Saccharomyces cerevisiae S288C: one gene and its partner. The protein of the gene in region 1 binds, or shares a complex with, the protein of each later gene. Each region holds a gene or a part of one and is shown in the gene's direction. Other genes may lie near its edges. The genes, in order: MCM4 and DBF4.

Region 1 (5,284 bases):
AAGAAGAAAAGAGGAGGAAAGATTGAAAAAGGAGGAGGAAATACGTTTGAAAGAAGAAGCCAAGGAAAGAGCACAATCCCGTATTGGTAACTTCTTTAAAAAACTAAGCGATTCTAATACGCCTGTGGTTGAAAAGTCGGATTATGAAAAATTTTTTCTACCTTTCTATGCTAAAGATGGAGTTAGAGTCAGTAATAAGTGGAAACTAACAAAAGTGGAGCTGGAAGGTAGCAAAAGAAAAATAGATGATGAATTACTGAACAGTAAAGATAAAACAAGTAGTGACGACTTATTGAATTGGTTACAGTCTAGAAGATTACCTAGAGGACATAAAATTAAACGTAAAGCTGTTGACGTTCTACAGCAAATGCCTTTGAAGGAGAAAACAGACGATGAGCTCCAATCTTTACTTGCACAAGTTCCGCACAAATATATAAAATTCTACGAAAATGTTAGACCTCCGTTTATCGGAACCTATTCTATGGACTTTACTTTGCCACCAAACGATCCCTTTTCTACGAAAGGTACTGGATTCAATTATGATTACGATTCTGACGTTGAATGGGTTAATGAAGAAGAAGAAGGCGAAGTCGATAACTTAGAAAGTGGTGAAGAGGAGGAGGAGGAGGAAGATGATGAAGACGTACCTAGCGAAGGAGAGTTTGACGGGTTTCTAGACAGCGAAGAAAACAGTGATTTGGATGGCCTACCCTGCGCCAAGAGAAAATTTGTAGGCCCATTGATACCAACAATATGCCTAAAATCCAATTTTGAAAACTTATCAGAGGAAAATAAACGATACTTACAACAACTCAAGGCCGAAGTTATCATAGAAACCGACGGGCCAATCGATCCATTCAAAGAACCCAAAACATCGTCTCTACCATCCAAAAGAAGTAATTCCGACTTACAGGCACAGACCGCTAGCCAATCTCAAAGTCCCGAAAAGAAACAAAAAGCAATGATTACAGACCCCATGGACTTACTTCGACTTTTTGATGGGGTTCAAGACAGCACGTTTTCTTTGGGTACTGTGACTGAAATAGCACAGAAAAATTTGCCGCAATACAACAAACAAACAATTAAAAACACCATAAAGGAATATGCCATAAGAAGTTCTGGAAAGGGTGATTTGCCCCGCAAATGGGTAATCAAAGACGCACAAAACTGGGAGAATCTTCGAGCCAATGCAAATATGCCAACCCCGTCTTTGTAACTTGAACGGATCTTTAGTATATAGAAACATACAGATAAACTGATTATTTATTGGTATACATGAAAAAGGCGACAACACTACGATCGACAGTCAAGCCTTTTGGACTTTGAATAAAATCCAGCACTTCTCGCATGCAACAAAAGAAAATCTTCTATATAAGCTGAACTACATTTATCTGTGTCAGCCAACTGCATGTTTTATATCACTTCTTTTTGGAATATTACGAGTAGATTCATGAAAACGCAAACACTTGGTTTACTCTTTCGGGAAATTTAATGCTAGTTCGCCGCCTCGAAAATGAAAAGAGAAGAAGAGACCAGAAGAGCAACTTCGCATTGGCACTGTTTATTTCTTTAAGAACATCTTCAATACTAAATAAGACAACCCATCTTCAGTTATTTTTACTCTTGGTAGAGCCCAACTTAGGATCCTTTTGAACCTCAAGAACTTAAAATGTCTCAACAGTCTAGCTCTCCAACAAAAGAGGATAATAACTCCAGCTCCCCCGTTGTGCCTAATCCTGATTCTGTTCCACCACAGCTTTCTTCCCCAGCTCTATTTTATAGCTCCTCTTCATCACAAGGTGATATCTATGGTCGCAACAATAGCCAGAACTTAAGTCAGGGAGAGGGAAACATCAGAGCTGCTATAGGTTCTTCTCCACTAAATTTTCCATCTTCTTCCCAAAGACAAAATTCCGATGTTTTCCAATCTCAAGGCAGACAGGGCAGAATTCGTTCTTCTGCGAGCGCTTCTGGAAGGTCTAGATATCATTCTGATCTGAGAAGTGATAGAGCACTGCCTACTTCTTCCTCTTCTTTAGGCCGTAATGGTCAAAACCGTGTACACATGCGAAGAAATGATATTCATACATCTGATTTATCCTCTCCAAGAAGAATTGTGGATTTTGATACTAGATCCGGCGTGAATACTTTGGATACTTCTTCTTCTTCTGCTCCTCCATCGGAAGCCAGTGAACCCTTGAGAATAATTTGGGGTACCAACGTCAGTATCCAGGAATGTACAACTAATTTTCGTAATTTTTTGATGTCTTTCAAGTATAAATTCCGTAAAATATTGGATGAAAGGGAGGAATTCATTAACAATACTACCGACGAAGAACTATACTATATCAAGCAGCTTAATGAAATGAGAGAACTTGGTACCTCTAATTTAAACTTGGATGCTAGAAACTTACTTGCTTACAAGCAAACAGAAGACTTATACCATCAACTATTAAATTATCCTCAAGAAGTGATTTCTATCATGGATCAAACTATCAAGGACTGTATGGTTTCCTTAATAGTAGACAACAATTTGGATTACGATTTAGATGAAATAGAGACCAAGTTTTATAAAGTAAGGCCTTACAATGTAGGTTCTTGTAAAGGTATGCGCGAATTGAATCCAAATGATATTGATAAATTGATAAACTTAAAGGGTCTTGTCCTGAGATCAACTCCGGTTATCCCTGATATGAAGGTAGCGTTTTTCAAATGCAACGTCTGCGATCATACAATGGCAGTGGAAATTGATAGAGGAGTTATACAAGAGCCCGCTAGGTGTGAACGTATTGATTGTAATGAACCCAATTCCATGTCACTGATTCACAACAGGTGTTCATTCGCAGATAAACAAGTCATTAAGTTACAGGAAACTCCAGACTTTGTGCCTGATGGACAAACGCCTCACTCTATCTCATTATGTGTTTACGATGAATTAGTGGATTCTTGCAGGGCGGGCGATCGTATTGAGGTGACTGGCACGTTCAGGTCCATCCCCATTAGAGCTAATTCCAGGCAACGCGTACTAAAGTCGTTGTATAAAACATACGTCGATGTGGTCCACGTTAAAAAAGTTTCAGATAAGAGGTTAGACGTCGATACTTCTACTATTGAACAAGAATTAATGCAGAACAAGGTAGATCATAACGAGGTCGAAGAAGTAAGACAAATTACTGATCAGGATTTAGCAAAAATTCGCGAGGTTGCGGCAAGAGAAGATTTATACAGTTTATTAGCCCGCTCTATTGCCCCAAGTATTTACGAGCTAGAAGATGTCAAGAAGGGTATATTACTTCAGCTATTTGGCGGCACGAATAAAACCTTTACCAAGGGTGGCCGTTATAGAGGTGACATAAATATTTTACTTTGTGGGGATCCTTCTACTTCCAAATCGCAAATTTTGCAATACGTTCACAAAATTACTCCTCGTGGTGTGTATACTTCGGGTAAAGGTTCATCTGCCGTTGGTTTAACTGCTTATATTACAAGGGATGTCGACACAAAACAACTTGTTTTGGAAAGTGGTGCATTAGTATTGTCTGATGGAGGTGTTTGTTGTATTGACGAGTTTGATAAAATGAGTGATTCTACAAGGTCCGTCTTGCACGAAGTCATGGAACAGCAGACTATTTCAATCGCAAAAGCGGGAATTATCACAACACTTAATGCCAGAAGTTCTATTTTGGCCAGTGCTAACCCAATTGGTTCACGCTACAACCCCAATTTGCCTGTGACTGAAAATATTGATCTACCGCCCCCACTACTTTCGAGATTCGATCTGGTCTATCTTGTCCTTGATAAGGTTGATGAGAAAAATGACAGAGAACTAGCCAAACACTTAACAAATCTTTACCTGGAAGATAAGCCCGAACATATTTCTCAAGACGACGTGCTACCAGTTGAATTTTTAACGATGTATATTAGTTATGCAAAGGAGCACATACACCCAATAATCACCGAGGCCGCTAAGACTGAGCTTGTTCGTGCTTATGTAGGAATGAGAAAGATGGGTGACGATTCGAGATCCGATGAGAAGAGAATCACAGCTACCACAAGACAACTTGAAAGTATGATTCGTTTGGCTGAGGCGCACGCCAAAATGAAATTGAAAAACGTCGTAGAGCTGGAGGATGTTCAAGAAGCCGTTAGATTAATTAGATCAGCCATAAAAGATTATGCAACAGACCCTAAAACCGGTAAAATCGACATGAATTTAGTTCAAACAGGTAAATCAGTTATTCAGAGAAAACTACAGGAGGATTTGTCAAGGGAAATTATGAATGTTTTGAAGGATCAGGCATCAGACTCAATGTCATTCAATGAGCTTATAAAACAAATCAATGAACACTCTCAAGATAGAGTTGAGTCTTCTGATATCCAGGAAGCCTTGTCAAGATTGCAACAAGAGGACAAGGTCATTGTCCTTGGCGAGGGTGTAAGGAGATCAGTTCGCCTGAATAACCGTGTCTGATGCTGTCTACTACAATCATTCCCTGCGTAACAATTAATAAATACTAATTAATTATAGCAAGTTTGTATTTTTTACATCCTTATGCTTTGTAACACTATTCAATACTGTATGTAGGCTCGATTGAGTGGGCGGCTTTTTTCTTATTCCTGATTGGCTGAAAGAAAATATTGTTAAACGCACTAAATTTATCCCGAAGGATGATTACATTTAAAGACCGAAAAATGAAGATGCAAAGATCCCTCATATTTTCTACTCCAGTCCAAATCGACAAGATAAACCTGCCGATAAATCATATTTCAGAACGCTAATCAATTCATCATGCTAAGCAGGATCCAAAATTATACCAGTGGGTTGGTTTCTAAAGCAAATCTTTTGTCATCAAAGGCTTTATACTATGGTAAAGTCGGTGCCGAGATTTCAAAACAGATTTATTTAAAAGAGGGTCTTCAACCACCAACTGTTGCCCAGTTCAAATCAGTGTATTCGAACCTTTATAAGCAGAGCCTAAACTTTGCTCTAAAGCCTACAGAAGTTTTATCGTGTTTAAAAAACATCCAAAAGAATGAACTATTAAAATATGGCGCATATGGTATTCAGTTGATAGGGTTTTATTCTGTCGGTGAAATAATTGGAAGAAGAAAATTAGTGGGATATAAACATCACTAAGCTTTTTAATTCTATCTATTCGCAAAACCCTTGTATATTCGTTAATTAAATTAAATCAATGTACAAATAGAACAAAACTAGAAAAAAGAATATATATTCATCTCAATTCTATTTATTTTCTTTTCATGACATACAATGGCATTAAAA
Region 2 (4,593 bases), on another chromosome or scaffold:
TACGGCAATATAGAGAACTTACTGATCCTAAGAAAGCTATTCCCTCATTTCATATAGAACTAGAGGATGATTCAAATATTTTCACTTGGAACATAGGTGTTATGGTGCTAAATGAGGATTCCATTTATCATGGAGGGTTTTTCAAAGCTCAAATGAGATTTCCGGAAGACTTTCCCTTTTCTCCACCACAGTTTCGATTTACGCCGGCTATCTACCATCCAAACGTTTACAGGGATGGCAGGCTTTGTATTTCTATTTTACATCAAAGTGGGGATCCTATGACCGACGAACCTGATGCTGAAACGTGGTCCCCCGTGCAGACCGTGGAAAGTGTGTTGATCTCTATAGTATCTCTATTAGAGGACCCCAATATCAACTCGCCAGCAAATGTCGATGCCGCTGTTGATTACAGAAAGAACCCTGAACAATACAAGCAAAGAGTCAAAATGGAAGTGGAAAGATCGAAACAAGATATCCCTAAAGGTTTCATAATGCCCACTTCTGAATCGGCGTACATATCTCAAAGTAAACTAGATGAACCAGAATCGAATAAGGATATGGCGGATAATTTTTGGTATGATAGTGATTTGGACGACGATGAGAACGGGTCCGTCATTTTACAAGACGACGACTACGACGATGGAAACAACCATATCCCCTTTGAAGATGATGACGTTTACAACTATAACGACAACGACGACGATGACGAAAGAATCGAATTCGAAGATGATGACGATGATGACGACGATAGTATAGATAACGACAGCGTCATGGATAGGAAACAACCCCACAAGGCTGAAGATGAAAGTGAAGATGTGGAGGATGTAGAAAGAGTTTCAAAGAAAATATAAAAAAGAACAGTAAGAAAGAAGACAAAATTTAACAAAACATATTCAGCTCAAACGCAAAACATGAATCAATTTATACATACGCGATACGTTGTCGATAAAGCACTTTACATTTTTCCCTATGATAATCTGAGATTGACAGGGGAAGAAGAAAATAACTAAGTGTCGAAGAAAAATTTAGAAAAATTAATTCATCATCCCATTTTACTTCTCGCAGTACACCGTACGAAAGAAGAAGGTAAAGAATTGAGAAAAAAAGTGTATATCATTACATTACTTTACACCACCTTATAACCACAAACGTGTATATTAAGAAAGTTTTTTAAAAAGAAAGAAATAAGAAAACCAAATCCGTCCCACTAATAGTTTCTAAGTTACTGTACTTTTTTTTTTTGAATATATATCACCATACATATGTATATAAATATATATTTGTGTGTGTGTGTTTATATCTATATCTCTTTGCATCTAATTCCTCATTACCTTTTTTATTTTTATTTTCTTATCGGTTCTTGGCTAACGCCTAAGTTTCTTTTAATATTTTACCCGCAGTAAGTAAATGGTTTTTTTTTTGCAAACGCGTCTTAGGTCGATCTTTGCGAAAAAGAAAAAAATAAAGAAATAACGATAATAATAACGGTAATGGCTCAGGCCAAGAAAAACAAAAATCAAGTTGCATAGTCTATACTCAGCCAGGTGTAGATTCCTTTAGATCTGAATTCGCTTGCAGGGCTAGTTATCTTCAGAATTCAAGGTTTGAATCTGAAAGGCATTTGGAATTCTGCTTTTGGTTCATATTTAGAAAAGAAAGAAGAAAATGGTTTCTCCAACGAAAATGATAATAAGGTCTCCGTTAAAGGAAACAGATACCAACTTGAAACATAATAATGGAATTGCCGCATCAACAACAGCAGCGGGCCACTTGAATGTGTTTTCTAACGACAATAATTGCAACAATAACAATACCACTGAATCCTTTCCGAAGAAAAGATCTCTTGAGCGCCTCGAGCTCCAACAGCAGCAGCATTTGCATGAAAAGAAAAGGGCCAGAATAGAAAGGGCCAGGTCTATTGAAGGCGCTGTCCAAGTCAGCAAAGGTACGGGTCTGAAAAATGTCGAGCCAAGGGTTACGCCTAAGGAATTGCTGGAATGGCAAACAAATTGGAAAAAGATAATGAAAAGAGATTCTCGCATTTACTTTGACATTACTGATGATGTAGAGATGAATACATATAATAAGTCCAAGATGGACAAACGCAGAGATTTATTGAAAAGAGGGTTTCTTACATTGGGTGCGCAAATAACTCAATTTTTTGACACTACTGTCACAATAGTTATCACAAGAAGGTCTGTTGAGAACATATATTTACTAAAAGATACCGACATTTTATCGAGAGCTAAAAAAAACTACATGAAAGTTTGGAGTTACGAAAAGGCTGCCAGATTTCTGAAAAATCTTGATGTTGATTTGGATCATTTGAGCAAGACTAAATCTGCTTCTTTAGCTGCGCCCACATTGTCCAATCTTCTACACAATGAAAAATTATATGGACCAACGGATAGAGACCCCAGAACTAAAAGAGACGATATTCACTACTTTAAATATCCTCATGTATACCTTTATGACCTATGGCAAACTTGGGCCCCCATAATAACTTTGGAATGGAAACCTCAAGAACTAACAAACTTAGACGAACTACCTTACCCAATATTGAAAATAGGTTCATTCGGAAGATGCCCTTTTATAGGGGATAGGAATTATGACGAAAGTTCTTATAAGCGCGTAGTAAAGAGATACTCGAGAGACAAAGCAAACAAAAAATATGCACTGCAACTTCGTGCTCTATTTCAATATCATGCCGACACCTTACTGAATACGTCATCAGTTAATGATCAAACGAAAAACCTAATATTCATACCTCACACATGCAACGATTCTACCAAGAGCTTCAAAAAATGGATGCAAGAAAAGGCAAAAAATTTTGAGAAGACCGAGTTAAAGAAGACGGATGATAGCGCAGTTCAAGATGTTCGTAATGAACATGCTGACCAAACCGATGAAAAAAATAGTATATTATTAAATGAAACTGAAACCAAAGAGCCTCCGTTGAAAGAAGAAAAAGAAAATAAACAATCTATAGCAGAAGAATCGAATAAGTACCCACAGCGAAAAGAGCTGGCTGCCACACCAAAACTAAACCATCCAGTATTAGCTACTTTTGCAAGGCAAGAAACTGAAGAAGTGCCGGATGATTTGTGCACTTTGAAAACAAAGTCACGTCAGGCATTTGAAATCAAAGCAAGTGGTGCACATCAATCTAATGATGTGGCAACCTCTTTTGGCAATGGTTTGGGCCCAACAAGAGCAAGCGTCATGAGTAAGAACATGAAGTCATTAAGTAGACTAATGGTTGATAGAAAGCTGGGAGTAAAGCAGACAAATGGAAATAACAAAAATTATACAGCCACTATAGCAACTACTGCTGAAACATCAAAGGAAAATAGACACAGATTAGATTTTAATGCTTTGAAAAAAGACGAAGCCCCTTCGAAAGAGACGGGCAAAGATAGTGCTGTACACTTAGAAACTAATAGAAAGCCCCAGAATTTCCCTAAGGTAGCTACCAAATCAGTCTCCGCAGACTCCAAAGTTCATAATGACATCAAGATAACAACCACAGAATCTCCAACAGCATCGAAGAAATCAACTTCCACAAACGTCACCTTACATTTTAACGCACAGACAGCACAGACAGCACAGCCGGTGAAGAAAGAAACGGTAAAAAATTCCGGATACTGTGAAAATTGTCGTGTAAAATACGAATCTTTAGAACAACACATAGTTTCTGAGAAGCATTTGTCTTTCGCTGAAAACGATTTAAATTTTGAGGCTATTGACTCGTTAATTGAAAATCTCAGATTTCAAATATAGGGACACGACGTAAAGTGCAGTAGCTTTTAGTGATAAAATCAAAATAGTATTGTTCCGTTTCCATTGCTGCTCGGAACAAAAAAGCTATCAACGGCAATGTTATTGAATCACTTTCTCATTCACCCTTGTTACTTTCTTGCTATTGACTTAACTCTTATTTACTCGTCCATATATTATCAATTGCATATATATACATATACATATATATATTATCATCTAGATTAATTACCGTTCATATCATAACTCATTCTGAACAAATAATGATCGAGTACCCACCGCGGTTAATGTCCCAGTTTTCATTTTTACCCGATATCCTGCAGAGACCGAGAGGCATGAAAAAAAAAAAGCTAGTTCTCAACTGCATTAATTGCAGCTCGTATTCATGGTTCAACATAAAAGAACTTACGCTACAGCATTCCATTTGAATAACTCAGAGTATTAGTAAAAGAAATGTGTGAAGAGAATGTTCATGTTAGTGAAGATGTTGCTGGCAGTCACGGTTCTTTTACGAATGCCAGACCTAGGTTAATTGTACTAATAAGGCATGGGGAAAGCGAATCAAATAAAAACAAGGAGGTCAATGGTTATATTCCTAACCATCTGATTTCTTTAACGAAAACAGGTCAAATCCAAGCTAGACAAGCTGGTATTGACTTATTACGTGTTTTAAACGTAGACGATCACAACTTGGTGGAGGATTTGGCTAAGAAGTATATTAAAGATGAAAGTAGCAGGAGAACTTTACCGCTGAAGGACTATACCAGGCTGAGTAGAGAAAAAGACACAAACATAGTTTTTTATACATCACCCTAT

The links.
Region 2: the proteins of MCM4 (region 1) and DBF4 are in contact, whole or in part, in a cryo-EM structure (PDB 7PT6), measured with the Saccharomyces cerevisiae proteins. Residues at the interface, in NP_015344.1 of Saccharomyces cerevisiae: Leu177 (codon at 2,198), Arg178 (codon at 2,201), Ile179 (codon at 2,204), Ile180 (codon at 2,207), Trp181 (codon at 2,210), Asn184 (codon at 2,219), Ser186 (codon at 2,225), Ile187 (codon at 2,228), Gln188 (codon at 2,231), Thr192 (codon at 2,243), Arg195 (codon at 2,252), Asn196 (codon at 2,255), Met199 (codon at 2,264), Ser200 (codon at 2,267), Lys202 (codon at 2,273), Lys204 (codon at 2,279), Phe205 (codon at 2,282), Glu222 (codon at 2,333), Leu224 (codon at 2,339), Glu267 (codon at 2,468), Ser270 (codon at 2,477), Ile271 (codon at 2,480), Gln274 (codon at 2,489), Lys277 (codon at 2,498), Asp278 (codon at 2,501), Val281 (codon at 2,510), Ser282 (codon at 2,513), Val285 (codon at 2,522), Asp286 (codon at 2,525), Glu297 (codon at 2,558); in NP_010337.3 of Saccharomyces cerevisiae: Asp248 (codon at 2,407), Arg249 (codon at 2,410), Asp250 (codon at 2,413), Thr253 (codon at 2,422), Lys254 (codon at 2,425), Arg255 (codon at 2,428), Asp256 (codon at 2,431), Pro514 (codon at 3,205), Thr515 (codon at 3,208), Arg516 (codon at 3,211), Ala517 (codon at 3,214), Ser518 (codon at 3,217), Val519 (codon at 3,220), Met520 (codon at 3,223), Ser521 (codon at 3,226), Lys522 (codon at 3,229), Asn523 (codon at 3,232), Met524 (codon at 3,235), Leu527 (codon at 3,244), Arg529 (codon at 3,250), Leu530 (codon at 3,253), Met531 (codon at 3,256), Val532 (codon at 3,259), Asp533 (codon at 3,262), Arg534 (codon at 3,265), Leu536 (codon at 3,271), Gly537 (codon at 3,274), Val538 (codon at 3,277), Tyr660 (codon at 3,643), Cys664 (codon at 3,655).

The regions. Positions count from the first base shown.
Region 1 is NC_001148.4:595,081-600,364, forward strand, and holds MCM4 (MCM DNA helicase complex subunit MCM4), read left to right. Parts: upstream 1-1,669; coding exon 1,670-4,471; downstream 4,472-5,284. Other genes in the region: RLF2 (Rlf2p), read left to right, coding at 1-1,216; ATP20 (F1F0 ATP synthase subunit g), read left to right, coding at 4,790-5,137. UniProt on the Saccharomyces cerevisiae protein: Acts as a component of the MCM2-7 complex (MCM complex) which is the putative replicative helicase essential for 'once per cell cycle' DNA replication initiation and elongation in eukaryotic cells.
Region 2 is NC_001136.10:557,698-562,290, reverse strand, and holds DBF4 (protein serine/threonine kinase activating protein DBF4), read left to right. Parts: upstream 1-1,665; coding exon 1,666-3,780; downstream 3,781-4,593. Other genes in the region: SCF E2 ubiquitin-protein ligase catalytic subunit CDC34, read left to right, coding at 1-851; acid phosphatase DET1, read left to right, coding at 4,231-4,593. UniProt on the Saccharomyces cerevisiae protein: Regulatory subunit of the CDC7-DBF4 kinase, also called DBF4-dependent kinase (DDK), which is involved in cell cycle regulation of premitotic and premeiotic chromosome replication and in chromosome segregation.